4 linked regions of the Lonchura striata genome follow. The protein of the gene in region 3 interacts with the protein of the main gene of each other region in a pairwise test. Links are inferred from orthologs where the notes say so. Each region holds a gene or a part of one and is shown on either strand. Other genes may lie near its edges.

Region 1 (6,906 bases), on a different chromosome or scaffold from region 3:
CATGCAAAAACCCAAGACCGCCTGTCCAGGACACGCTCAAGTTTATTCCAGGAACAAGTAACCACAGAGTGGAGGAAGAAAGGAAGAGCAATATGCCTTTTAATGAACTTGACTGCAACATCAAACGGCACCTTGTCCATCACTTCCAGAGAGACAACAGGTCACCAGCTGTTGGTAAATACAGCGTGCCAGATGTTTATTCCAAACACAGCTTTTGTGATGGGAATGTGGGTGAAGTGCGTGAGGGACAGCACAGAAATGGAACAGAAAAGCTGTTCCTTTCTTCTCATGCTCCAGCCATAAATAAATGACATGGCTACTCTTTTTTTTTTTTTTTTTTCTCATTATACCACAGAGGTCTAGCACAGGGCAGAGGAGAAGTGCTAAACGCACATCTCCTGCTGCAATTCAAGAGCTCATTTGCCTTGGCAAACCAGGAGCAGGGCCTGTGCGTGCACAGAGGCAGCACGGGGGGAGCAGGGCACAGGGCAGGGGGAGCGGGGCACGGGGAGCAGGGCACGGGGCACGGGGAGCAGGGCACGGGGAGCAGGGCACGGGGCAGGGGGAGTGGGGCACGGGGAGCAGGGCACGGGGCACGGGGAGCAGGGCACGGGGAGCAGGGCACGGGGAGCAGGGCACGGGGCAGGGGGAGTGGGGCACGGGGAGCAGGGCACGGGGCACGGGGAGCAGGGCACGGGGAGCAGGGCACGGGGAGCAGGGCACGGGGCACGGGGAGCAGGGCACGGGGCAGGGGGAGTGGGGCACGGGGAGCAGGGCACGGGGCACGGGGAGCAGGCTGTGCCCAGCGGAGGGGCTGGCAGGGGGTACTCACGGAGGCAAAGGTGCCAATCTGTTTGATGTTCTGCTCGTAGCTCTGCGAGCTGGTGGGCCGCCCGGGGGTGCGCCGCGAGTACCAGAAGGTGTAGTTGTACTGCAAGGGGTGCTCAGCTGGCCCCGGCACCACAGCCTGCAGGACACAAAAGCTTGTTTACCCCTCGCATGCTCCTCTAAAAAGGGAAAAATTGCATTTACAGCATATAAAAGCAACCATTCGAGCCATCAGAGGTATCGTGGATGAATTCTTTTTAGTCCTGTGCCTGTCTCAAAGGGAAAAAAAAAAAACAACTAAAAAGGAAATGTGAGACCTTGAACTTTTTCAAATTAAGGGAAAAAAAAAAAGACACTTTCCTCCTCTGGGAATGATAAACCCCACTTACAATGAATCATGATTCAAATGCAATTAAACTCTTTGATGACACCAATTGCCTGAAGGAACCAACACCCCAGTGCTCTGGGAAGATTAACCTAAGAACTTGTTATGTCAGCTTTGGCAGAACCCATCACCAGCAGCGGGCAGCAATCACTTTTTAATTTCCAAAACACTGATTTCTGATTAAAAATACTTCTAATGAGCACAAAAGAGGCTAATGAGAGCTCATCAGCCAGGAGTCAAAACTTACAAAGAATACCCCAATCAAAGCTCTTATTTGTACTACTTGATATTGTTACAGGAGTTCGCAGGGCTTAAATCTCTACTTTCCTCTTGACTTCGGCAAGTTTACAAGGGTTGCATTACTTCAGACAGAGAAATTTTCCTGAACAAGATATAAAAATAAACCAAACCAGGGGAGATATATACACAATGCTTTCTTCACCAGGCTACCTTACACACAGGGACACATCTTAAAAGGTGTTTCAAGAGTGTCACAAACACTGCCTGCTAAACCACCTTCAAGGTACTACTGTCCTGTCAGACATGAGTCCTTTCCCCACATCCTCTTCAAAATTTGTTTTTGGATGAAAATAAAGCCTCATTACTCATTTCCATTAAAAAGCCTGACAGGGTACCACTATGTTAGTGATGGGAGCACTCACCCCTCAGATGAGAGACCTCCAAAAGTGACATCAAATTACCAAAATCAAACGTAGTGCTGCTGTCTTCACTGCAGCAGTAGCAACGTACTGATATCACAGCCCCCCAAGACATATTTTCCCTTATCCCTGAGCTGAGCATTGACTCCCCAGCACTCCCATACCATGCCCTGGCAGTGGAGTGCAGATGCCAGCACCATACCTTCCTCTTGGTAGTACTCTGTGGTTTCTCACGATCGTTCTTTTCCTTCTCACTGTCTTTCTGTGTGTTATTTTCCTCATTCTGGTCATGGTCTCCACTATCATCATCTTTCAATCTGGTAAAGAAAAATAACAAAGAGAGCCATCACACAGCTGAGAAGGTCCATACCAAGCCCAGGTAGTTCTCTGCTCCAAAGCTCCTCCGTGGTACAAGGGCCACCACAGTTTGGATATCTACACTTGACAACGTACACAGTAAAAACTACTTCTTCTTTCATGCCCATCACAGGCATCTTGGGCAAGCACTTTTAAGCTGACGTGAACAACGAAACAGCTTTTTGGAACAAACTCAAGTGGTTTGTGCTGGATACTGATCTGCCACAGGAAACCCCGGTTACTTGTTCAAGTTCCCTGCTATTCAGGGGGCCCACACGAAGACCTCTCACCGTACCTCTGCCGAGTCTTACCCACCCCGCTCCCCACGGCCCCCAGCACTGCACAGGCAGCGCCTCGGACGAGCAGACACCGCGCCAGCACCCAGCACCCCACAGATCTCTCCGCCCGCCCCATTCCCTGCCAAGGGCCGGAAAAAAGCGAGACAAGCAGAGCCACAAAGCGGTCCGCAACTCCGCGGTGCAGGCCTGCCAGCGGCCCACCGCCCACACCTCCCGGTCCCGCGTCCCCTCGGGGCCAGGCCGGGCCCCGGCTGCAGGTTCGGGGCTGTGCGCAGCCCCGTGACTCATCGCGTCTCGCCCGCCCGACGCCGGGGCAGCGGCGGGAGGCGCCGGCGGGGCTCGGGGCGGTGCAGGGCCCGCACCGGGGGCCGCTCGGGGGGCTCGGGGGCGACACTCACGCGTCGAATTTGTTGTTCATCGTCGCTCGCTGCCGCCGCCACCCCCGTCCGCCTCAGCGACTTCCGCCCTGCTGAGTCCGCCCGCGAAACTCTTCCGCCGCTTCCGGCGGCTCCGCCACCACCGCCCGCGTTTCCCCCCGGAGCCGTAACGCGGCGCACGGCGGGCGGGGGCGGGAGCGCCCCTCAGGGCGCGGCCGCCATCTTGGGTGTGGCGTGAGGGGCGGGCTGGGGAGAGAGTTCAACTTATCCGTGCAATTAATTGTGCTCCCGTAAATACAGTTTGAGGACTCAGACAGTTACTCTTCTAAGAATTTTCCCACCTTGCCTCCTGTGGCAACAGGAAACCCCAGCTCGACTCCCTCCCCATTGATGTTTCCTTCATGTGCAGTGAGGGATGGCACAGAAAATGGGAAAAAGTCCCAGTAATGAGTCTGCAAGCTCCTGAAGTGATAATAGACAGTTCATAGCGGATAAAGGCAATAGTCCCTCTTTCAGCATCTCCTTGCACTTCACGAATCTGTTCCCACGTTACTCCGAGTACAGAATTTTCACAGTGCTTTGCAAATCTCTGAAATTTGCAAATTTCTGCTATCTGGCAGAGTTAGTAAATAGAGTTCTGAGTGCTGTAGCTTCTGTTTCTATATCAATTTGTGATGTGGAAAGAGTAAAAATTCATTGCCTATGTAATCTAGGTACTCATGCTAAGCAAGCAAAGGAACAACCCCGTATTATATCCACAGTATTATAACTTGGTGTAACTCAGTCTACTTAAAACTTATTTATGCTGAACAACTAATATCTCTCATAAGTCTGTGGATCAGGAGCATTAAAAAAAAATGGTATGTATAACCATATGTAAAGCACTGCATATCCTCTATCCTATAGTGTGTTAGTGTATTAATTCTTGTAAAGCAATGTAACACTGCTATTCCTGCCTTACTATCTGAAAGCAAAGGCAATGAGTGTCTCAGCAATATTCCTGAAATCCCAGGAGTATGGCAGGACAGGGAAAGGGCCCCCCAAGCCCTAGGCTAAATATTCTTACCATGGGCCTTCCCATCCGGTTGTCTTAAGGGCTCAGACGTGTGTTCATAACCTTAGAAGTCACGGAAGATTATTTAGAAATATTTAGTAGCAGAAACAGTTCAAACACTCATACAGAATTTCCTGGTTGGTAACAAAAGGGATCCCCAAATGGGATCTGTGTGCTCTGAAGACCAGCAGTTTACCAAAATATTTCAGAAATAATGTGTTACACAAATCGCTATGGAGACCTGTTCATAAAGAGATCCTTTTCATAAAAATTGCCAAGATATCAATCACTCTCTTAAAATTGCCCAATACAAGTGCCAAGTAATTATTACAGGGTGAGAAACAGGGTCACACTCTGTTATTTCCTACCTAATAGCTTATTTAGAAATTATTAGGCACTCCTAAAGAGCACCAAAGGATACAGTAATTACAGTTATCAAACTTAAAACAGAAAGAACACCACTAAACCCCACAGAAGTGAAGGCTTCACACTGATCAAAACCCCCAGCTTGGATTCTGATCTTCCCGCAAAACCACATAGGTCTTATTGGGAAGATGACCTACATCAGGTTGGATAGGGATTTAAAGTATTCCGCTAATACAATAAATTGCATATACATTCCTGAAATTTCTGTGGGTTTTATGTTTCATTTGTACCAGTTTAAAGGAAACCAAAGTTTATTATATTAATACTTTTATACACTGACCTAGCTTGAAATCCTGTATGGAAAAATGGTAAAAGTAACATCTCTGCAACAAGAGAGGCAAACTCAGTACAGATTTGTTCATATTATAGCACATAGATAACATCCAGCATCCTATGCCCAGTGAAGAGTTCCTCATGAGCTGTTCAAACTCACCTTTGGGTAGTTTTGCAGCCTGGGAAAAAATGTAAACATAGGTGTGATGCCTGACTTTGGTTTGTCTAAGGGTTGTACCCAAAGCTTAGTGGCATTAAGAGACCTCGGTGACAGGGAAGCCTTGCAGTGTGGTGTACTGGGTCCCCACAAACCCTGGGTTCACTCATGCTGCTGTAACACACAGTCTCTTGGTAAAGCTGCTTTTGCATATGGCAGGGCTGTTCAGTCCTTATATACAATTCCACAGGATGGGCAAATGACAGCATCTGACACCTCTCGGAGTCATTCTGAATTTAAAAAAAAAGGGCTAATAATGAGCATTCAAGAATTGTTGATGTGCAGACTCTGTGCAGAACTTGAAATTCCTAAGCCATCTTACAGTGGAGGATCAGGGTAGCTGAATCATGAGCCATGAGCAAGGACACAACACACGTGCAGCTACACACATTTCCCACCTTGGATTTCCAGCTACACCATCATGAAGTGCTCAGCATAAAGTGAAGGTGGTGTCTGAGCCCGCTCTGAAGAGATCTGTGGTCACTGCACTCCGAATGTAGAGAGCGTGCCATCCTCTGCCTGCAGATAGGAGACAGGCAGTGAGATTTAAGGCATAGCAAATTCCCAGCAACAGATCTGTTTTTCATCACAGGCCCATACAGAGTTGGTGGAGCTGGTAAGGCAGCAGCCTTGTTGTTCTGTTAAAAAATATGATCTTGCTGAAAAGGAAGACAGCGCACAGTAAGTTTTCTTTCAGCCTAGAGTGGAACAGCATCACTCTCTTTATGTTTTAGGTTGAATTCAAAGAAAGAAATAGCTCAGCCATCTCTCAGGAAAAAAAGGAGGAGAGGAAGCAGGAGTGCTGCTGGAAATACTTTAACTAGAAGCATTTGAAATATGTAGCATCTGCCTAAGAGACAATTACTTGTTAGCTTTAACATCTCATTCAGGCATGCAGCATTGAAGTCCTGTGGCTGTGCAGTCACCCAGCTCTTCTGGTGGTGCCTGATCTCAGCCTTAGTAAGAGCTCATCGATCCTGCAGGTGTGTCTCTGCCAGCAGCCTTCTCATCAGCAAAGTTCCCGAGGGCCTCAGCAGTGATGGGGAAGTGTCCTGGGGCTGCACCTGGAAATACAAGCAGGGGAATGCCAGGAACATCTTGGCTTCACAGAACACTTACAGGCTGAATGTTCACAGCTGAACTGTGCCTAACCATTGCAACGATCCACAACTGTCACTTGTCTGACTGTAGGAAATGCATGACAACTTAATTATTTTAAAAATTATCTTGCAAGGAAGTGTGTCAAAGATGACCATTATCATACATTTCTCGATTGCCTGCTTTCCACTGGTAGTTCAGTTTCAGTTCTGGCAGATTTAAATTACCTTAAATACAATTTTTCTTAAGTTTTCTAAGTGAAGTCTTTCCCAAATGACCTGTTCCTTCCTAAATTTTAAGTCAACACTTGTCTGTAATTCTCAAAGCCACATTCATGTCAGCTTGTCCTGTTTATTCTGGATGGTTCTTACAGCCCAGTCTAACACAGGAAATCAGGGTTATTAAAAAGCCCTCCAAGGCATAAGGTAAGAGGAAAAACCTGATTCTGGCCCCATGGCAAATTTGATGCTGCATATTATATATGTAAAGTCAGGCTAGTCTCTGTGAAGAGAGCTGTTACAGGACATTCAAGGGTCTGTAGGCAGACTAAGCCAGGAATAGTTGCAGAGGAATCATTATTGAGAAGGAAGAGGAGCACAGCAGTGAGTGCTGGCTGCAACAGAGCTCAGTGTTCATTTTAGAGCTCTTCTTCCTCTCTGTGCCTTGGCAAAGAACAACCACTCCATGCCATAGCTCACTGAGGAATCCTGCCAGGTGTTGATACAATCACAGGGAAGCCCTTGCTCACCTGAGGCCAGGAGATGCCATGGAATTCTGCCATGACCTGGGATCCTTTGAGCAGCCTCTGGCACATGACAGCCTCTGTAGTGAAGCAATATCCAAAAAGCACATCCATTTGATGGCAGAAGGGAGTGGAACACAAAGAAACATGACTACAAACAAAGCAAGCTGAAAATTAACTTCTTTTGTAGG
Region 2 (7,538 bases), on a different chromosome or scaffold from region 3:
AAGAAACGAAGACTACTGCAAGAAAATAAACAGCTTCTAAACTCAAGTTTAACCTCGATTACAGAATAGTTCAAAACTGAAAGACAATTTATCCGAAGAAAAAGTCACATTAATTCACATTTAAAGTTTGCGTTTCTCTTTCACAATGGAGGCACTCTACCAACATCCCTGATTTAATGCTCCACTCTATCACCTCAAAATTCAAACTAATCTTTACAAAGCTGCCAAAAGGGATATTTTTCATCAAAAAATTTTGCATGTACCTCCATACCTGCAGACAGCATCAGTAAATGAAACACACCTTGATTTCATATGCCATTTTTATGCATGTCTTTGAAATAAGTTGTGCAACATACCCCTCTTAGAGGAAGCTCCATAATAACTCAGATATGTTATTTACAATTCAAAAGCTTATGATAAATATTCTCAATTATAAAACAGCATGAAAGGTACATCTATTCTGCATCATTTCAGAAAAATGCAATGAGCAAGCAACTGTGTTCACAATACTGCAGTTCAATGCTATACTAACTTCAAGCAGATCAGGTCACTGACTTCTACAGCAGAAACACCTAGCAACAAGAGCAAGTCTGAAGTTGAATTAAAATTACATGCTACCTGTCTACAGATAATGCAAAATAAGTACCTTTCAGCCTACATGGAATTTTAGGAGCTATTATGAGCTTTCCAGCATTTTAAGGTCCTGCACCACTATGTTTGTAACCCCTTGAGATAGTAGTTTCATTTAAATAAAGTTTTGATTCTCACCTATGTATGATTACCTTCTCAAACAAGTGCTTTTCAAATTACAGATAACTGAAATGTCACTGTTGTATGCTAAAAAATAGAGTTAAATTCACAAGAATTGTAATTATAACTGCCATTAATCAAAAACGCAAAAGAGCCATGATGCCATTTCCAATTTGCACAATGAGGGATTAGATTTATATGCACCTAGAAGTTACAGGCTTTGTGCAGGTACATTTTAAAGTCACCTTTGGTAAATTGTTTACTAAAGCATTACTCCTCGTTTTGTCATGGACTTTTGCATGGTGTTCTCTGATCACATTTAATCCTCAAAGGCTATATAAGCACTCTAACAGTGCTTATAACAGCACTCTAACAGGTGATACTTCTGCATAGTCTCAAAAATTAATCTAGAATATTTTTAAAAGAAAAACCTAGATATCACAAGAAAAACAGAATTTTTACTTGTCAGTGTTGCAAAGGTTTAAGTTCTCCCTGCAGCAGAGAAGTAAACCACTGTGCAATTGGTCTGTATTTATACAGAATAATTTTGCTTTTTTGACAACTATTATGGGACTCACTACAGAATTCTCAACTTAAGTTTCTGTATTTAAGTCAAACATTTTCCCAGCCTCTTAAGACTTTCAATGTATGCTACTTTTGAAACTATGACAGTACAAGAAACACCACTGATCTTAGTAGAAGCCTGTATTCATAAAACCAAAACCAACCCTTACTCAGTTGTATTTTCATTTCATTCTCCTACCAGGAAAGCATTACAGATGACATCTCTACAAACCAAGGTCCAGATTTTGCAGGTGAGCAACAGAAAGGCCTCCCTGTGATCCAGAGGTAGTCCCTGACCACACATGCAATTAAATTGTTCAGCTACAAAGCACGCAGTATTTCTGCAACACCTCTGACCTCAGTCACTACACACGCCTAACTTTAGGCTTAGGCGAGAGAAGGGAGCCACTTACAAGGACAATAACAAAGACTTTGTTATTTACTGCAATTTGAAAATAAGCACGCACAGTTGGTTGGTAGCTGACTCCTGAATGCGAACATACTGCACCTACAGCAAAACATTCAATAACCGCATTAATTACTTAAATTGTTGTGAGTTTTGCTCCATCTTCTACTTTTAGGGGCTCAGCACAACTGCTCATACTGAACTGGATCTGAGCAATCAATCTTGCTGGGACACAGCACGGCAAAAGCAATCGTTTACTTTCTGCTACATTAGGCCAGGATCTACCCCAATGTGCTGATGGAGTTAGTGGAGAAAATGGTGTAAAGACAGTTTTTGTGCGAGCAGCACAGCTAAGAAAGCCGCAAGGTGCAGGCCTTTAGAGTAATTTCATTTTCTAATGGCTGTATTACAAGTTATTTATCACAATTCCTACTAAGCTTCACAGTCACCACAAGGCACTGCACCGAGAGGAAGCCCTCATCTTCAGATAAGTGGGCAACAACTCAAAGACTGGCTCCGGGATGTGAAAACAAGTGTTTAACACTGGCTGAAGAACACCGGAAGGGTGCTGCTGGTGGTCTGTCTTGCAGTCTTAATAACTGACACTCTCCTTGTACAGAACTGCTGCCACACAATTTATAAATGCTAACCCACTTCAATCTCTTCCTCATGGATAAAAATCTGAGGTTTGTTTCACACAAGAAAACCATTAAGCGAAAAATCAAAAATGGCAAAATTAGTTTTTATTTAAAACCACTGATTTCAAACTTTTTTCACTTTGTCTAAATGATACAAAGCCTCCCCAAACAGCACACTGGCTATTTATTCAAAGCTGGCGAGCACAGCAACAAGAGACCAGCCCTCCTTAACTGTGTTTTCTTGAAACCCTAACAGAGTCGTCGGCTGTCCTCTCCTCATGATACACAATCATGTGGGATTAGAATAACAACTGTACTTGGATCACTTCCAGCTGCTCCAGCTCATTATGGAAGTGCAGGCTGGGGCTACGTTTGTTAAGACCGAGCATAATATACCATGAACATAACTTATCACCTGGAAAAAACAAAAAGAAGTACTGAATTATCATGAATATCATGAAAGATCTGGAAAAAAAAAAATCCTCTCGAATAAAAGACGACACAACCTGGGAAAAGCGATTGGTTTGCTGACTCTCACCACCGGGCTGTGGCGGCGGCTGCCCCAGCAGCGCATCTGTGCCTTGCCGGCCCGCGCTCGCTCCCCGCGGCGCCTCTCCGGGGCCCGGCGTGCCGGGAACGCGGCCCTTCCTCACGGCCGGAGGAGCCGCCCCTCGCCGCCCGGCCCGCCGCGGCGGCGGGAACCAACATGGCCACCCCCACCGCGCCACATGCGCCGGGCGGCCGCCGGGGCCGCGGGCGGGGCGCCGCACAATGGGCGCCGCCGGACCGCGGGCCGCGCTGCCGCCGGACCCCACCGGAGCCGCGGCCGCCGCGCTCGGGCGGCGGTGCCGGCACAGCCACGGCGCCCGCCGCCCCCTCCCCGGCCCCTGCGAGCGTGCGCTCCTCGCCGGCCTCCCCGGCCAGCCGACTCCTGCCCGACCGCCCGGCCGGGCCCCCACCGCGCCCCCGCCCGCCGCGGCCGGCGGAGCGGCGCCTCGACGAGGAGGAAGAAGATAAGGATGCCGTAGGAGGAAGGCAAGGTAAAGGCGGGCGGGAGAAGTGAACGCGGCACTCACCGGCTCCACCGCCGCCATCTTAGAGCGCTCGGATCGCGGACGCACCGCGGGGCGGGGCGGGGCGGGGCGGGTAAAGGCCCCGGGCCGCACGCGATTGGTCACGAGCGCCCGGCGGCCGTTGGGGGCGCGCTGCCAGCCGGGAGATGTAGTCACCCAGCGCGGGGACCGCCGGGAACCCCCTATTGCCGCCCGGGCAGGAAGAGGCGGGCCGGCGCGGGGGCGCCCTCTGGCGGCCGCTGTGGGAGCAGCAGCGCGCGCCCGCCGCTCTGAGCGCACGGCGCGGCCGCAGGCGCCAGAGCCCCCCCGTGCCCCCGGCACAGCGCTCTGTGCCCCCTGTCCCCGGAACAAAATCAGAGAATATTTAGATTGGAAAAGAGCTTTAAGAACATTGAGTCCAAGTGTTAACCCAGCACTTCAAAGCCCAGCTCGAAACCATGTCCATAAACATCACATCCACACATATTTCTGAACATTGTCCGGAACGGCGATTCCACCACTCCCCGGGGCAGCCTGTTAAACCAAATAATGAATCCCAGCCGTGGGATTCATTTCAGTGCTGTGATTTCATTAGTACTTACCAAAGGCAAAGGGTTCAATAAAGAAAAACACAATAAATATATAAGTAAGTTCTTACCCTTTTGTAATGCTTCTTGATGAAACAAATACCGTAACAGTTTTCAAAGTAAAAGAACTGGGGCATATCTTTATCCCAGTGACAAAACAGAAATTGAAAAACAAAATATTTCTTCCTAAACGGTATAATTTTAAATCACATTATGATGGCAAAACAAGAACATAATCTCTGAAATTTGTACATTCAGAAAGTACATGAAGAAGCAGGGGTTTTTTTACTGTTTTTTTTTTTTTTTTTGTGTTGTTGTTTTTTTTTTGTTTGTTCTTTTTTCCCAGCATATATATCTATATCTATAGATATGGATATAGATATAGTTCATTTTACCTATTCTGCAAAATTTGATTTCTGGTAATTCTTTATAGACGGTTTGATGCAAAACAGTAATTAATAAATCTTCCTATTTATTTGCCTACTATGCTGCCATATGGATCTTATATTCCACTTTACTTGCTTGGCAGACATGTACATTCTTTGACTACCTGTTCTAATCCTGCTTTTAAGGTTCTTAACATAAATAATCAATCCAAAATCATCTTCTTCCCTGATAGTTTATTTTCATCTTTTTCTGTGTTTAACTTTGTATTTTTATTCTCAAACAGCAAAGTGTACAGACACACATTTTACAGCCTTGAACATCATTTTACTGAGAAGATCTATAAGTGCGTATTAACCACCAAATTGTATTGAATGTCATATAGCATTTGGCTATTTCATTTCTCTCATGCAAGGCAAGGAGAACAGCATGAAGCCCTCTATAAGTCAGCTATGCTTTTTAACAGTTCTTAATTAGCTAGGTGAATATAGCACAGCTGAGCTCAGAACATGGCCTACCTCATTGCCACACAAATGGGAAGCAAGCACGTGTTGTGGTTTGGGATATGCTTTCCTTTGATTTGTTGAGTTTTGGAGGCAAAAAGCCTCTAAAGATTATATCAGAAGTTATCCAACAACTTACAGTAGCAAAGATACGATATAACACACATAGTAGACCAGATGCTCAGAAGTGATGTGGCTGCCTTGCAAGTGGTATAATCTTCAAACTAAAAGGTGATTTAAGATGGAAGGCAAAGAGGTATCACAGATATAGCCAGAAAATCCCACCTTTTGAAGTCATAGTGGAGCAAAGAAGGGGCTGAAGTAAAGAAATGCTGAGTATCTCGTCTTCAGCAGTCCTTCAGGGATTTATCAGTTTCCAGTGTGAATCTAGCTAGTGCTGGGAACATCTCCAATGTGCATCTCCAAGTCAGAGGTGTGTAGGTATGAGCTCGAATTGATCTGCACACTTATATCTCAGTGATTTGAATGAAATAATACTTTTGAATACTGTTGTATGTGATTAAAAAGCTGATAATCTAAATTTAATTTTGAAACCTGAAAATAAAAATAATTTTTAATGTCACACAGTATTGTCCATGGTATCTAAAGTGGAAATAAAACACTGATTTTATTTTACTACTGTTAAGTCTATTTTATGGCCCTTTGATGACACAAACTAAACTAAATCTCTTTGGATATCAATAACATTCCTGTTGAATTCAGTTTAATTCTTTGGGCCAGAACTTCACTCCATGACTTCTACTTTTTCTGTAGCAACGAATAAAATTGTTCTAATCTCCAGACATATTCGTGGATTCTTTCAAATATTTCCAGCAGTAGAGTTTTTCCCTTTAAGGCTTGCAACTTACTGGTTAAATAGGAATGCTTTTTATAAAAACACCTTTTTTTTTTTTTTTTTTTTTTTACAAAAATGCAGCTTGTTTCCCTTTGATCTTGTCCCATGATAAAACAATCAGTTTCATATCCATACATTGGAAATTGCTAAAATTTTTGGATACCAGAAGAGTGTTCTTGAATGCACAGAGAGCCATTCTTACATCACAGTGCAAATTTGATACCCTGTATTAAATACAGACTCTGCAAGAGGCATAAACTTGAACAATCAAATCAAAACAAAACAAAAGAATGCAGGATCTTCCTTTTCACCACAACTAAAGCTTGCTTGGAATTAGCTTTGAGTAAGGCTGCTCCAGCCTGGATTGTGGCTGGAGTGGGCCTTTCAGTAGTTTAGTTTGTATCTGTACCAATGGAGGGGATAAAAGTGATGCAGGGGCTTAAAATACATTGCAACCTCTTTTGACTTCAGAGAATTGGACAGAACTTGAAATCCCGCATGATTTTTCCTTAAAGAGAAAAAAATGGAGGCATGTATTTCTTTAGTGCAACTCTGTTCATACACAAAAGATGTTTACAATGATTTTCCCCCCTATGCTCTTAGTATTTTGCTTTGAGCACAGGTTTGTCTTTTCCTCTGGGTAATGCTTCCTATAGGGCTGTTTTCCATTCACTTTTTGAGGTAGTGCTTTTGTGGCCATCTTTGAGGTGCTTGTGATGGGTTTGCGATTTCTGTTTTTGGCAGACAGACATGCACAACCTACATAACTGTTGCATTTGGTATGAGAAACTCACTAAGTGCCTGTACCATCTGGACAAGCCACAGCAGGGCACATTTGCATGTGGTCTGGCTCCTGGGTGGCATTTTTGCATTGTTTCAGCCCTCCCTAGACAAAGAGGCATTTAATTGTGTCTTCGATGAGCCTGAACAGGAGACAGCTACCAAGAGCTTCATTGGGAAAGGGAGACTGCCCAGCCCCCACTGCTGCAATGTAGAGAAGCAAAGCAAGGAGGGGGGACCCATGCTAAGGTGCTCTCTTAATTAAGTAATGTCAAATTCAGTGGCCATTTTCTCCCTAAGCAGCAGCTGTCTCAGCTGCCAGCTGCTCTCGCTTTTCTGCGGCTGCTCTCTGACCCATGAGACATGGCTGACCTCCCCTTTTGCCCTCTTTGCTGCCCTCACATACTCCCAGCCTTGCATCACTTTGGAGGAGTTGGGAGGACAGCAGTGGACACAAATCAAGCATCATGAATGGGCTATAAAATATGTGACTCACGCCCCTCTCTGTGCGTTGGTCTGTAACACAGGGGGACAGGCAGCCAGAAAGGGATGTGAAAAGCCTGACAGAAAAAACACCTCTGCTCAGGTAAGGTAATAGCAAAGGTCAGTGAACTTCCCTGGTGAGAATGAGTGTGCCACCAGATAATGGGAAATGGCAGTGGATAGACCTCCAGGATGCAGGAGTCAGTTCACTTTGTAAATAAGAACATCAAGGCCAAATTGGAAAACAAAAACATTGAAATACCACAGAAACCACATAATTTTTTTATATGGGGAGATGACGTAGGGCTGTTTAAAAACCATTTCAACAGCAAACCCTAGGCCAAATCTTTCAGGGTTTGTTATTCTAGTCTGATCTGCCATTGCAGTCTGTGTTTCTTTCAAAGACTGCAGAGGACAAGTACACATGTTTGCGAATTCCTCAATTAGGGGGCTTGCTGTTCTTTAAATTACACATATATTTAAATTGTTTAATTAATACATGCATCTTTGGCTGTTCTAAGGAAGCAGGGAAACA
Region 3 (7,125 bases):
CTGAAAGGATGAAGAAATCCTAACAGCAGACACCACACATCAGCCAAACTGAAGGAAATCCCTTCACCCTTTCCCCCCAAAAATACAACATCCTTCAGAACTTTTATATCATTTTTCCTACATGATTAAAATCAGATAATTAACTATGTGAGTTTGACACTTGCTCTAGATGGCAACTTGGTAGCTGGATAAAACCTTAACATCAGCCTGCATTAGACTTCAGCAAAAAGAGTGCCATTAAAGGGAGCCTGACTTCCCTGCCCACAGCTTCCCAAAATAAATCTCAACCTGTGAGGAACATCAGTGCTGTAATACTATCAGAGCCTGGTGCAGATACTACAAGCATTACCAGCCCTGTCCATCACCAGATTGGGAATAGGTTGTTTTGCTGGCCACGAGAGGGAGTCCACAGGCTCTCATTCACATCCTATCACAATTCTTCCGCTCAAGTGAGGAAAATTTGAATTGTTTCTTGCCTTTCATTCATTAGCTGTGCACCCTTGGGGGAACAGCTTCCCAAGAACTAGAAAAGACACAGGTTAAACTGTAGAGCATTCCTGTAACAGAGGAGATAAATGCTGGCACTTCCATGTGTGGGGTTTTTGTTTAATTCACATACATTCTAAGCAGGCTGGGGGGAGAAAAGTGTGCTTAGCTGTTATCATACAGTTTTAAGCAAACAGCTTAGAACTACTCATAGAATGAGCCAGATACTTTCCTAGTGGTAGTAAGTGAATATAAACCATTAAAGGAAATCACCCCTGTTTCCAAATCGGCAGCACATACCCCAAAACAGTGTTCCCTCAACCCCTAATTAGTAGGAAATTGGAACACATGAAAATGCCCTACAATGTTCATTACCTCACCATCTTAAAATATTTGAGCTTTAACAGCTAAAGAAACTACATAATGCAAAGTATTTTAACACAGACTGATTTCTGGTATTTCTTGATTTAGGGTCCTTGGAAACCAACTGATAAACAAGACTAGGCACCTTTTGACACTAGTTCTGCAGCTTTATCCTGGTCAGAAACTGAATTAATAAAGCTGAAGCTAGTAAGGCATTGCTTTCAGTAAACAGCCCCCACCAGCATGGGCTGAGCATTGCTCTAAAAAGCAGAACAGAAATTGAAGCTGAATTCAGTTACTACACAAGAGGACTTGGACAAGACTGAAAGAGAATAGAGTCCACTTTTTCAGCAGGGGAGCTTTAAAAACGGCTCTTCTCTTTCACTTAGCAGTTAGTTAACTACCTAGGTCTCAATAGCAGTATACTTCACACCCTCAAAAGTTAAGGGCACATCATTTTTAGGAAGTTAGAGAGATTTAAAAAGCTTTGCCAAGAAGTTTTGCCAGTTCTGAAGTACGTGGTTTATTGTTGATGTCTACTTAAAATAAGCCAGAGCTCTACTATGTCAACAGAACAGAGCCACAATGATAATTTTTTTTCTTTAAAAAACAACCTACTAAAAAGCCAACAGCTCTGAATTCCTCAAGAAAGATAACACAGTCAGCAGCAGTAAACTATCTCACCCGTTCCACACTTCAGGCCGTTTGCTGCAAAGTATCTTAACAGCTTTTCACAAATCAATGACCACCTGTTCCCACAGCTTGCCATGGGAAAAATCACTTACAACTACGGACTCTTCCCAAAGGCATTTTTCAGCAGTGGTACCAAAACCCCAAACAAGATGTGAATTCCTAAACCCTACAGTATATCAAACTCAGTACTAGAACAATCTTTCTTTACTTGCAAGTTATTTGGCTCTTCTTCTTCCACTCACACATATATTTAGGCATCATAATTAAACAAAAGCACCTGTGAACACTAAGCATTGATTAGAGTCACAACTGTTTAAGCTTCCAGCAATCAAAAATGAGCAATTCTAAGGTTACAAAAGGCACCCAGCAAACATATGAGAGATCCTGATAACATCTAGAGTGCTACACCTTTCTATGAAATGGCACCTACTGCAAGAAAACAGTTTTGGTCAACTTCTCAAAAGAACACTGCTGAAAACAGAACTATGAAGAAGTACTTGAGAAAGCTGGTAGAACAACATACTTCAGTCTCTACAATAATCTCTCAGCACAAGCTATGGGGTGCTCAGATACTAAGATAAAGTGGTGGGAATCAAATGCGCATCGAGGACAAGATTGCACAACTGCATCACATTTAATAAGCTGTTCGTTTGATGCCACCGTGTAAACCCTAATGCAGGCAAAGGCTTTCCAGCTTTCACCTCACTGCTTCCCTCCACCTCCCACTCTACTCCTGTGACGGAGACCTACACACACAACTCAGAGATGAAAGGAGAGTGAGCTGACCTTTGTGTAACGATGTGGGTATTTAGTTGTAATTCTGTTCAGCTCCAGGAAAGCATCGCCATTTTCAGTTTCTGTTGCACCTCCTCTTTTATCCATGGTTACTTCAAAGCCTTTGACCGCGGAGCTAATTAAAACAAAACCAACCCGTCAGATTTCAAGACGTACCTTTCTAGAGGGTGCATTTTCCTTCCAGCCTGACTCAGATTAACACTTGGGCACAGGAAAGTAGAGCCGCGCTCCCCAGCAGCGCCCGTCCCCTCCCAACCCTGCCCCTTCCCCCGGCCCAGCCAGGCGGCTCCCGCTGAAGGCTCCGAGCCGCTCGGGCAGCGCGGCCAGCCCTACCCCGCGCTCCAGCGGCTGCGGCACAAGGAACACCGGAATATCGGAAAATCGGTCTGCGGGCACGGCCGGGGCGCGCGGCCGCCGGGACCCGCAGCCCCGCACCCCGCGGGGCCCTGAGGGGTTGGGCGCCGCTCGGGCAGCTCGGCCCAGGCGCCGTCCCGAGGCACCGGAGCCGCGGGGGGGAACGGCGGCAGCGGGGCAGGTGACTCAGCGGATCCCCGCCCGGCCGCACTCACCGGCGGGTGTCCCGCGCCGCTCCGCTCCGCTCAAGGCCTCACCGCCGCCCGCGGCGCTTCCTGCTCCGGCCGCCGGCCCCACTTCTCCCCCGCCCGCCCCCACTGAGGGGCCGCACGCGCCCCGGGCCGGCGCCGCCGCCGCCGCCGCCCCCCCAGCCCCGGCCGCCCCGCGCAGCCCCGCGCGCCGCCGCCGCTCCCGCTCCGCCCGGCGCCGCCTCCGCTCAGCCGCCGTAGCCGGGGCCTCGCGCCGCCCGCTCCGCACCCATTTAACGCCCCGCGCGCAGGCGCGTCGGGCGCGCGCGCCGGGGCTCCCCCGCCCTCCGCCTGCCCGCGAATGGGCGGCGGGAGGCGCTGAGGGCGGCCGGGCTGCGCTCCCGCCCTGCGTCCCCGCCGCCGGCCGCCCGCGGAAACGGCGTCTCAGCCTGCGAGCGGTGCGGTGGGTGAGGAGAGACGCGCGGCTCGCCGAGGGCCTGCAGGCAGTCTGGGCGGGCAGCCCTGCGGGGGAGGCGGCCACCGGCGGGATGCGGTGCGCGCCATGTGCGGGGTGGCGGCGGGACCGGCGCGTCCCTGTCCCGGGCTGTGCCCGTGTCCCCGTGTCCCCGTGCCCGGCTTGCCTCGGGGGCAGCGCGGGGTCAGAGAAGCGCGGGAAGCGGCGGGGTGGTGGCGGCTGAGATGGGCCGGGAGGGCGCTCGGCGGGCGCTCCCCTCGCCCCGCGCGCTCGCCGCGCTCACGGGCGGGCTCGGGGACGCTGCCCGGGAGCGCCTCCGCGTCCCGCCGAGCGCGGCCCGGCTCCCGCGGGTGGCGGGGGCGGTGCGGCTGAGCCCGCCGCCCAGCCCGGCAGTGTGGGCACAGGGTGTTCTCAACCCGGCCCGGGCTCCTGTCACGTTGGAGTCTGCCATCCCTGTGGGATAGCAGGACTAGATTGGTGCAGTGAGCGCAGCAGCTTATTCGGAGGCACCGGAAAAGTCTTTCAGTTTTTGCTAATAAAGAGCAGACATTGTTTTCAACATCAGTTTAAGGAATTTACTGAGCGAGATCGCCTGCTCCGTTTGTCCACAGCTCTGTCCCCGGCACTTGCATTCATTCTGCCGCAGGAACCCAGCGGGGCCACAGTTTCCAAACACCTTGGGCAGTGAGGTCTGTGTAGGAGCAACGAATTTCATGTAGGATCTGGTGAATAAGGTATTCTCTTCCCTGATCTGTAATGAAGTTGAATACTATAATTAAAATCTGGTTACCTATGGAATGAGAGAAATATATGAGAAATAAATTTCTTGTTTTTTTCATGACAAAGTGCTCCATTATTAATGAGACAGGACTATTGCCAAGTCTTCTGAAGCTAACAAGTGCTTTCCAAACAAATACACAAGAAGACTCCATGGCAACCAGTGGGCCACCAGCCTCGAGCTGAGTGGTTGTTACGAGATGCTGTAGGCTTTGAGAAGGCCTGAACTATGTTGTGTTTCACTGTCACCTTTGTGCACGTCGCTATTTTGGGCTAAAACAGCTTTTTTGGCTCCCAAAGACACATCTGCCACAGGCGCGTGTTACTTGATGCCCACAGCAGATATATCCAGTGGTGCAGAAGTGGCAGAACACAGTTTTTTCCCAAGTGCAGCAACACCTCCCTGCCGCGCCGTTCGGCCCGTTTCCCTGCGCGGGCCGGTCCGTGCTCGTGGTCGGTAAATGCCGGTCACACCGGGCCCGCCCCGCCGCACGGGGGCGCTGCCCGCCCTCCCGCCCCGCCGCACGGGGGCGCTGCCCGCCCGCCCGCCCCGCCGCACGGGGGCGCTGCCCGCCCCGCCCCGCCGCACGGGGGCGCTGCCCGCCCCGCCCCGCCGCACGGGGGCGCTACCCGCCCGCCCCGCCCCGCCGCACGGGGGCGCTGCCCGCCCGCCCGCCCGCCCCGCCGCACGGGGGCGCTCACTCAGGGGCGGGCCGGGAGCTCCTGCCCCTCATGGCGGGGCCGCCTCAGGCGCTGCTGCCCTTCCCTCCGCTTCTCTCCCGTTTGCTGTGGATTTCACCGCTGCTTTCCGCCCATCTCCTGTGCCGGTGCCGTTTCCCCAGTCCCGGGTTCTGTGGCGCCCGTCAGCGGGGGGGGGCGGCTGCCGCCGTCCCTCACGGCGGGGTTGTGGAGCAGCGTCCTGTGGGTCTCCAAGTGTTTGTACAGGGTTCAGGGTATAGATACCTGCTGGAAGGAATCTCATGTAGTAAAACTCCAGAAAAATCTTGTAGGGTTCTGTTTGGTTTTGGTTTTAAGCCTTTTTTGTTTAGTTTCGGTGCTTTTTAGGTTTTTTTGGGAGGGGGGAGGGGTTGGATTTTGGTTTTTTTTGGGGGGGGGCAGAGGGTTCTATCACACAGTAACTAATGCTTATAGAAAAATCCACTCTGGATCTCACACTTAAAAGGAGATGCCTGGCCGTAATTCCAGGTGCTTCCACAGAATTGACTCTTCCCAGGACCTTTGGAAGCCACAGGATTCCATGCATGGAGAAGTTCTCGTTGGAGCTACCTTCATTTCTAAGTGCTTGTGAAGGAGAGGAGCATAGTATTTTAAAAAAGAAACCAACAGGTGAAAAGGAATCAGCTGCTGATGGTGTCACCCTTGGTTATGTATTTATTTTTAAGTAGAGGCACATAACTTGGAGTAGTTTACTTTTTACAGCACCTTTCTAGCACAGTTTTGTTTAGGTGGGCAGAATTGCTGTCTTAGGATTCATATGGTTATAACTTTATCACCATTACATCAAGCCAGCACAGTGTTGCTAAGTGAGACAAACAGAGGATTTTCATGTTAAACATCTGGAATTGCATGATGCTGTTTGAGTGCAGCATAAGTCTGAGTGGAAACATGTCATTTTTATGATACAGACTGCATTTAGCATAGATCCATGTGATGGATTCATCACAAGTAACAGGCACCAATTCATGCTTTGTCCAAAGTTACTAAACAACATTGCAGAGCAGAGAGTGCATTTGTACTGTAGGCTTAGAACCACAGTGAAATGGGGAAATTCAGGAGCAGGTAAGCAGTAATAAGAAACTACTTTGTTAAAGACCTCAGCTGTAATTTACTTTATGTTTACAACATCTTAAGATTTCCATGGGACAGAAGAAGGTTGACTGATTCTCACAGAAGGGCTTATTAGTCTCTATGGAACTTTGTTAGCCAGAAAATGTTGCTCTTAAAATCAAAGTAAAAAACTATGAACACCTAACCCCCAAACTGATAATGAAACACAACTTTATGTGAGTTTACATTATCTCAACATTTACTTATAAAAGTGATGTTCTTGAGCTTGAGATACTATACTGGAACATAAGGTATTTGGACACAGCTGTTTGTCCAGCCACAGATTTACTCCATGTTCTCTTCTTCCCATGCTTTCCGTTTCTGACTTTAAAAGGAATAAATGATCCTTTGACTCTTATTTTTCATGGTCACTTGCCATAAATTTTGGGGGACATAGGCTGTAATCATTAAATATATGCAGCACATAACAGTGTTCCAAATACAGAAATAAAAGTACATATGTTGGAAAATTATATAGATACTCTTACACCTTAGACTTTCATACAAAACTTCACAGGTTGGATTTTTTTCAATTCCTTTGTATAATGTCACTGCATATGGTCAGGCCAGGTTTGTCTTTGGGGCAGATGAAATAGTTTTAAAGGGAGCTGGGTCTAATAGGTGTGTACAAGAACTTGTGCTGAAAACTGTTTTGCATCAGTTTTAAAGTGCCTGAAACTCCTTCAAACATGCATAAAGTTGCCTTAGAGTTGCCTTAATTGCACATCTTGATGTGAACAGAGCCTGCTGTCTGCTGGACAGGGCCTACCCCTTTCAGAAAACATTCAGATAATATTTTATAGAACAAGAATTTCTCACACAAAATATAGGTCTTGTTTTCTTCCATTAACTTTTTTTTTTAACTCTTTTGCAGCCTACTGGAATAAACAAAAAATACTGTATTTCCTCCCAGTGATTTGTTGTTAATAGTGGTTATTCCGTGGAACTTTTGAAACTTGCATTGTTCCAGTCACTTTGTGAAAACAACTTTTTTTTCTGGCTGCAGCCATGTTTTCCCTAGTTCAGTTCAGGAGTTCATTGGGGTGAGATTTCAGATTATCCTCTTCTGTTGGCTCTTCTGGAACTGAAGAATGTGTTTGTGTTTCTAATGTGCAAATTTTCAGGGTGGTGGCAGCATTTGTTTTG
Region 4 (7,789 bases), on a different chromosome or scaffold from region 3:
TTGTGTAACGAGGCAAGGACAGGTTCCTCATGTGCCTTGCAATTTACATCTTTTACTGACAAGATTATTTTTAAGCGCTGTTCTTACTAAACAGAAGTACAAAAGAGTTTGTATTATTTTTCCTTTGGGAAACAGGGAAGGATATGAGTGTTCCTTATTAACCAGCCCCTTCCCAGCTCCCACCTGCTGACTTTGTATTATTGAAAACATTGACAATATTTTAAGCTTTGTACTGTACTGATCTTTATTTAAAAACTTTAGCGGAAAAAAAGAAATCTATGAAAAAACAATTGGTGTGGTGTGAAATTCCCAAATGCACAACTGAACAACTACAGAAGGTTATGAGTAATTAGAAAAAAACAGGGATGATAATTATAGAGAGATAACAAAATGAACAATAAAGTGTGGTTTTATCTCTGAATCTCAAAGCACTCACAAGGTTTCATGAAACCTATTGGATTTCATTCCCTTTCCACAAGGGAAGTGCAGACCAGCTGCCCTGACACTGGTTAGAGAAATTTTAGTTCATCATCCACAATCACAGAAGGGTTGAGTTTGGAAAAGATTTCTGGGGGCCATATGGTCCAACCCTCAGCTCAAGCAGGGCCACTCAGAGCTGGTTGCCCAGGTCCATGTCCAGATGAATTCTGAATATCTCCAAAAAGATGGTGATCACTTCTCTGGGCAACCTGTGCCAGTGCTCAGCCACCCTCACTTTAAAAATGTGTTTCCTGATGTTCAGAGGAATCTCCTGTATTCCAATGTGTGCCTGTGCCCTCTGGTCCTGGGACCCAACACAGAGCCTTGCTCAGTCCACTTTTCACCCTCCCTTCAGGGATTTATATACACCTATAAAATCCTTTAAATATTGGCTGACCTGATCCTCTTCCACCAAGGTACAGATTCCTTGCTCCAGCCCTTCCCCCTGCTCTCAGGGACCAGGGATTCCTGAAGGCTGATCTTGCTGGTAAACACTGAGGTGAAGAAGGCTTTTCCATCTTCTCTGTAGCCAGCTCTATCTTACTGAGCAATGGGCCCACAACATTTGCCCTCACAACATTTGCCCTACTCTCCTTTTTGTCACCCTATAGACACCCTTCTGGTTGTCTTTAATATTCCTGATCAGATTCCAGTTGGACTTTGCCTTTCCTCATGCCTGCACATTCAGATAATGTCTGTATTCTTTTCCATCTGTATCCTTGTTTTCACCTTCTCTCTACTACTTCTGTGTTTTGAGTTTTTCCAGGAGCTCCCTGTTTATCCATGCAGGCCTACTGGCATTTCTGCCCAGCTTCCTGCTCATTGGAATGGACTGTTCTTGAGCTTGGAGATGATTCTTCCCAGGCCTTCTTATCCCAAGGCACTCTACCAAGCAGATAGAGTCCTTTGAAGAGGCCAGAGTGTGGAGTCTAGTGTTTGATGTTCACCCTCCTCCCTTCCTTCAGGATCCTGAACTATGCCAGCCAGCTCTACTTTTGACCCCCACATTTCCAGCAGACCATGGCTGGTGAGTCTGATGTCCAGCAAAGCACCTTTCCTTGTCGGCTCCTCCCTCACTTGGAGGAGGGAGTTACCAGCATCCATTCTAGAAACCTCCTGGGCTGGGAATCACAGAATCATAGAAGGGTTTGGGTTGGAAGAGACCTTAAAGATCAACTCATTCCAACCCCCTGCCATGGTGAGGGACACCTTCCACTAAACCAGATTTCTCAGGGCTCCATCCAGCTTGACCTTGAATGTTTCCATGGATAAGGCATCCAAAGCCTCCCTAGACAACCAGTGCCAGGGCCTTACCAACTCCATACTAAATAATTTCTTCCTAATATCCAATCTAAATCTACTCTCTGGCTTCATTTTGAAGCCATTCCCATTTGTCCTGTCACTACATGTTTTTATAAATAGTCCCTCTCCATCTTTCCTTTAGGCTTCTTTCAGGTACTGGAAGACTGCAGTTAGGTTACCCCAAAGCCTTCTCTTCTCCAGGATGAGCAATCCCAATTCTCTTGGCATTTCCTCTAAGGGGAGATGCTCCATCCCTCTTAATCCTCTTAACTTGTCCTCCCAGCAGGTATCAGGTGGCTGAAGTCCCCCATGAGGAGTAGGGCCTGCAAAGAGGCAACTGGCCCAGTACAACCTCACCCAAACTGGTTATCGCTTGAACCCTTTCCCCATAAGCTCTCCGTTGGCTCATCATCCACACAGAATTCCAGGCACTCCAGCTATTCTCTCACTAAAGGGCAGCTCCTCCTCACCTTTTTGGCTTGTCTGTATCCCTCCATTGTAACACTTGGGTCGTGGGAGCCATCCCACCACACCTTCCTGATCCCAACCAGATCACGGCCCTGCAGATGCACCCAGATCTTTGCCTGGTCATGCCCAGTCCTCACAATGCTGGTGTTCTCCACACACACTCCAGAGAGACACCCCAGCACACTGACATCCCAGATTTAGGGATCCCAGTTTTAGGGATTTCTCCATCATGGTGTTTTGTTGATTTTCTGATCCCTTTCTGTCATATCACTCCAGATCCTGAACTCATCAACTTTATCTGGGAGGGTTGTGTGTGATCACATACATAATTCATCAATTTTATCTGTATTTCAGAACTTAAAACCTCTAGAATGCCTTCTATTTTTCCTTCCAATAACCCAGTAATTTTAATTATTATTTCTTAATATACCACGCAGACCAAGGTTTCTGCAGGTTATGTCTTCACCCACCAGAGGGCGAGTTGTCTCCATCTGTGTCCTCCACTGCCAGAGCTCGATAAATAATTCCTTTTGCCTTTCATGAGTAGATAGCAGGGATGTGGGAAGCTGAAAAGGCTCATCTTGACCTTGGCAAGTCAGACTTGTCTGTACAGAAGTTGTCAAGGATAAAGCTTAATCTAGATCTTCACTTTAATTCCTCATTTCTCCTCTCTCCCACTTTACAGTCACAATTCCTAAACACCAGCTTATGCTATGGCTTTTCTTTTGCTTTCTTCTGTGGAATCTCAGAATGGTTTGGGTTGGAAGGACCATTAGAGACCATCTCATTCCCAACTCCTGCCATGAGCTGGGACACCTTCCATTAAACCAGGTTGCTCAACCTGGCCTTGGACATTTGCAGGGATGGTGCAGCCACAGATTGTCTGGGCAACTTGTACCAGGGCCTCCCCCACCCTCACAGGGATTAATTCCTTCCCAATGTCCCATCTAAACCTGCACTCTGGCAGTTTAAAAACACTGCTCCTTGTCCTGTCACTGCATACCCTTTTAAGTAATCCCTTTTTGGCTCTCTCAGAGCCCCTTTAGGCACTGGAAAGGACTCCCAAGGACTTCCCAGAGCCTTTTTTTCTCCAGGCTGAACATGCCTAGCCTGTCATCTTTACAGGGTGTGCACCAGCCACTCTGCCACACAGCCTTGTCACCGATTTGCAGTTATTGTCCTTGGGGATGATCCTTGGCACACATAGGTGAATTTCCTTCTCTGAGACAGGCCCTGTTCCCTGTTAAATGCTGCCTGGATATTGAAGCTTGAAAAATCAGAGGGCTTGATCAGGGTCCTGCTCCTGGGTCTAAGTCAGCCATCATCACACCAACAGCTTTGCTGTCCTCCAGATTCAACTCTTCAAGCCCTGCTTGGCCTTCAGTTCATTATTTTCCTTTCTAAGCTCATCAGCCTCATTCTTTATCTCCCACGTCTGGCTTTTTTCTCTCTCCCACACCATGCTTAGGCAGACAGTCTGGCTGCAATTCTCCCCGCTTAACTTCTGCTTAGAAAACCCTTGGATCTGCCACCTGCCCTTGAATCACAGCCTGGCTTGCCTGGTGTAGTGGTGATAAAGAGAAAAAAGCAAAGATGCACAAAAACCTTCTTTTTCATGGAATCCCAGAAGGTTTGGGTTGGAAGGGACATTCAGAATAATCTCATTCCAACCCTCTTGCCATGGGCAGGGTCACCTTCCACTAGACCAGGTTTCTCTCAAATCCTGTCCAGCCTGGCTCTGAATGCATCCAGGGGTGAGGAATCCACGTCTTTTGGGGAATCCACAACTTCTAAATGCAGCAGATAATTTCTGTTTCCCATGGTGATGGATTTAGCTGTTTTCTCTCTTACATTTAGGAGTCAAGTTTTGCACATCCACCTTTTCCTTGATGGTATCCTTGATGCTTCTTTTAGCCCCTTCCTCCAGAGATAAAAATCACATTTGAAAGAGAGGAATTACATCAGTGCTACATATGAAAAATACACTATTTCACAACTATATACATTTTAATACATGTATATATACATCATAAACTGGCACAATCACTCCTGTTAAAATATTTCAATCTCTCCAGGTATGGATTTGTCCCTTCAGAGCTGATCGTTACCCTGCACACTGCACACGGCAGGGAAAACTCCCCCAAAAGAAGCAGTCCAGGTGCCACCACCCGCAAAATGTTTTAATGTGAGGGGTTTATGAGGGGCCACGAGGGGGATATGCAAGTCTGTGAGTGGGATACGAGTGGACTATGAGGGGCTGTGAGGGGAAACTCCCTAATAAAACAGAATGAACGCTTTCCACGTCTTTTTTCCCCGCTCCGGGGCCGAACTCCCCTCACGGGTGGGGGGGGCGGTTCGGCCCCTCAGAGCCCTCCCCGTTGCCACGGCGACCGCGCGCCCTTGGCACTCACTGCGCAGGCGCGGGGAGACGCGGAGGCGCGAAGGGCGCTGCGCATGCGCACTGGGCGCGGGGCGGTTGCCGTGGAGACGCGTGGGCCAGGCCGGGCCCGGAGCGCCGCCGCCGCCGCCGCCATGAGCTCGGGGCCGGAGCCGGAGCTGGGGCCGGGGCCGGGGATACGGCCGGGGACAGGGACAGGGCCCCCGATCGGGCCCGGGCCTGGGCTGCCCTTCCTCCCCGGCTGCGCCATCAAGGACCCCACGGTGAGCGCGCCCGCCCACTGTACCCCCGCTGTGCCCGCTTCCCACGGGAGGCCTCCCGGATCAAGGTGGGCTGGCCTTGTGTGTGCCCCCTGAGGGGTGACCTCAGAAACGGGCTTCTGCACCTCCCTGCACCTGCTTCAGGTGGTACCTGGTATCCCCTGGTGACGCTCTCTGGGAATCTGGTATTCCCTCAGACTTTGCTCAAAATCCACAGAAGGCTTGGGACTCCTAAACTCAATGATATTCATAGAATCACAGAATGGTTTGGGTTAGAAGACCGTAAAGATCATCCCATTCCACCCCCTGCCATGGGCAGGGACACCTTCCACTATCCCAGGTTGCTCCAAGCCCTGTCCAACCTGACCTTGGACACTTCCAGTGATCCAGGGGCAGCCACAGCTTCTCTGGGAACCCTGTGCCAGGGACTTGACACCCTCACATGGAACAAATCCTTCCCAATATCCCATCTATCCCTACCCTGTTGGCAGTGGGAAGCCATTGCCCCTTGTCCTGTCCCTCCACGCCTTGTCTGAAGTCCCTCTCCAGCTCTCCTGGAGTTCCTTTGGACACCAAAACCAATTCTGCTGTCTGCAAACTCACCCCTTTAGATATTCAATTCCCTTGAATCTATCCAATAATTCCCCCACAGTTCATAACATACCCCAGGGGAAATCCCCAAACTCGCTTTACAATCTTGAAATCTGATTCCCTCAGGAAAAGCTGCTGTTTCTCTGAACCATCTGAGTTTTCCCAAAGTTCTCTGAACTGATACTGATTCTGATACTGTCCTGAACCAAGTTCCTTAAATTCACCTGATACCTCCTAAGATGGATATACCCAGGAGAACCAATATTGATCAAACCTTGAGCATTCCTCCACATGAATTAATCCCCTAGATCATCCCAATATGATTATGTCTTGGACATAATTTGTCTATTACATAGATACACCTTGAAGTCACCAGTCTCATTGGCAATGAACATCTTCCAAAGCTCTGATACTTCCAAAACTGCTCTCCTGGTGTTGCCTGGAGAACTGAATCCTTGGCAGTGCAGGTCTGGAACCTGATAACCTGATGAGAGAACTGGTATCCCACCACAGAACTGGTGTCATCACTGCTTCCAGGATCATCCCCAGGAAATTACACACTCTCAGCTGTTCCCAGGTTCCCTGGAAGAAGCAGTCTCATCCTCATCCTCATCCTCTGCAGCCGATACTAAAAAAGGAAGCAACCTCTCCTTTTCCCCATCCAATGGTCCAGGACCTGATAACCCAAATCCTCCCAATATCCTCTTGAGGAAGTGGTACTTCTACAGAGAACTGATGCTTCCATTTATTTCTTTGATATGCTAAAAAAATGCCCCCCAAAACAAAAATGAGTTGTTTCATGCCTGGTTTGGGCTTAACCAGGAATTTACAGCCTTCCTGGAGAGTATCTTTAACAGAAAACATTCCTGGCTGCATCCAGCTTTGTATATGAAAATTCATTGTCACAGAATCATGGAATGGTTTGGGTTGGAAGGGACCTTAAAGATCATCTTGTTCCAACCCTCTGCCATGAGCAGGGACACCTTCCACAAACCAGATTGCTGCAAGCCCATCCAACTTGGCCTAAAATCAGTGACAACTGAGTCCTCCAATAGTAAATAGAGTAAATTACTCATAACAAATAGCCATCCAGCAATAAAGGTTGTCTCAGAATTATTCTCAGATACTAATATTTCCTTGAAGTAATTTCTAACATCTTGGAAATCTGCAGTTTTCCAGTCCATAAAACTGGCATAACAATACTTGGTTTCATAGTGAATGCCGAGAAGTTCTGAAGGAAACCTCTGTGTTCAAGTAAAGTGGTGTTACAGCTTAGTGCTCACTGGACAGGGAAACAGACACTGGGAGAGGGAATGGTGTTTGTGTCAAGTGTTACAGACTTGGCAAAAAGAAGGACTTAATTTAGTGGAATTTCTTCAGATAAACACTGGCAACAACTGAGATTAGGAATTTACATTCTGGGTTTTCCCTTTTAAACTTTCATTAGTTACCTGATCCTGGAAGATGTTATCTGGCATACAGGCTCACTTTGGAAGAGCTTGTCCACTCAGGAGCCTTATGAACCAACGAGGTGCTTTCTTTAGGCAAATGTGGGCTCTTAAAAGCCTGCACACTTCTAACAAACACTGATATTGCTCAAATTAAAGACAAACTTCCTGGTTTTCCTTGAATATTTTCCCCACAGCTTTCCCTTGGTATTTATTTAAGAGAAGGAAGTGGCAGTTCTGTGGCAGTTTATAAGATGTTCTGCTAAAACATCTTCAGACAAATCTTGTTTTCACCTGTTTTCCTCACTGCTCTCTCCTTTGCAAGATCTATAGTAGCAGTTTAAAGAGAAAATGGGGAATTATGTGGAATTCAAGTGGGGCCTGAAGGTATAAATAAGATAAGAGGCTTAACCATGAGAGGCGAGGAAGGGGGTGGAGAAGAAGCAGTTTGCATGCCTAAGGTCGGACTGACTGCAACTGGAAAAGGAGCTGGAGCTCGTTCTCTCAGCACAAGACATGCTTACAACTCTGTTTTACTTGGCAAAAGTCAAGAGGTTTTATTATCAGGGACTCATAATTTCCCCTGTTTTCTCTGGAGCTTTAAGAGTTGAGTGTCCAGTGGGACCAGGAAGGCTCTCGGAGTGCAGGTGAGGTACCACGTGTGCCAGAGTGTGCAGCAAGTGGAGCAGTTTGGTGTCACTCGAGTCTGACCCTGCTCTTCAGTGGTGAAGAACAAGACTGACTGACAGATCAGCTCCTGTGCACAGCCCTGGGAGAAGGACTTGGAGCTGCTGATGGATGAGAGGTCGAGAGCCAGAAGCCCCCACCATGTGCTGGGCTGA

What was found.
Region 1: the proteins of EIF4ENIF1 (region 3) and EIF4E2 interact in binary tests that used the Homo sapiens proteins (3 or more experiments, as listed by UniProt). The two-hybrid records come from large-scale screens. The link is inferred for Lonchura striata from reciprocal best matches to the Homo sapiens genes EIF4ENIF1 and EIF4E2.
Region 2: the proteins of EIF4ENIF1 (region 3) and EIF4E interact in binary tests that used the Homo sapiens proteins (3 or more experiments, as listed by UniProt). The link is inferred for Lonchura striata from reciprocal best matches to the Homo sapiens genes EIF4ENIF1 and EIF4E.
Region 4: the proteins of EIF4ENIF1 (region 3) and EFHC1 interact in binary tests that used the Homo sapiens proteins (3 or more experiments, as listed by UniProt). The two-hybrid records come from large-scale screens. The link is inferred for Lonchura striata from reciprocal best matches to the Homo sapiens genes EIF4ENIF1 and EFHC1.

The regions. Positions count from the first base shown.
Region 1 is NC_134612.1:18,512,811-18,519,716, forward strand, and holds the start of EIF4E2 (eukaryotic translation initiation factor 4E type 2), read right to left. Parts: upstream 3,011-6,906; 5' UTR 2,947-3,010; coding exon 2,927-2,946; intron 2,190-2,926; coding exon 2,075-2,189; intron 968-2,074; coding exon 833-967; intron 1-832. UniProt on the Homo sapiens protein: Recognizes and binds the 7-methylguanosine-containing mRNA cap during an early step in the initiation. Acts as a repressor of translation initiation.
Region 2 is NC_134606.1:49,885,908-49,893,445, reverse strand, and holds the start of EIF4E (eukaryotic translation initiation factor 4E), read right to left. Parts: upstream 3,004-7,538; 5' UTR 2,817-3,003; coding exon 2,676-2,816; intron 1-2,675. UniProt on the Homo sapiens protein: Acts in the cytoplasm to initiate and regulate protein synthesis and is required in the nucleus for export of a subset of mRNAs from the nucleus to the cytoplasm which promotes processes such as RNA capping, processing and splicing.
Region 3 is NC_134620.1:4,471,783-4,478,907, reverse strand, and holds the start of EIF4ENIF1 (eukaryotic translation initiation factor 4E transporter), read right to left. Parts: upstream 3,004-7,125; 5' UTR 2,907-3,003; intron 2,563-2,906; exon of another isoform or gene 2,453-2,562; 5' UTR 2,425-2,452; coding exon 2,329-2,424; intron 1-2,328. UniProt on the Homo sapiens protein: EIF4E-binding protein that regulates translation and stability of mRNAs in processing bodies (P-bodies). Plays a key role in P-bodies to coordinate the storage of translationally inactive mRNAs in the cytoplasm and prevent their degradation.
Region 4 is NC_134605.1:110,375,040-110,382,828, forward strand, and holds the start of EFHC1 (EF-hand domain-containing protein 1), read left to right. Parts: upstream 1-4,782; coding exon 4,783-4,911; intron 4,912-7,789. UniProt on the Homo sapiens protein: Microtubule inner protein (MIP) part of the dynein-decorated doublet microtubules (DMTs) in cilia axoneme, which is required for motile cilia beating.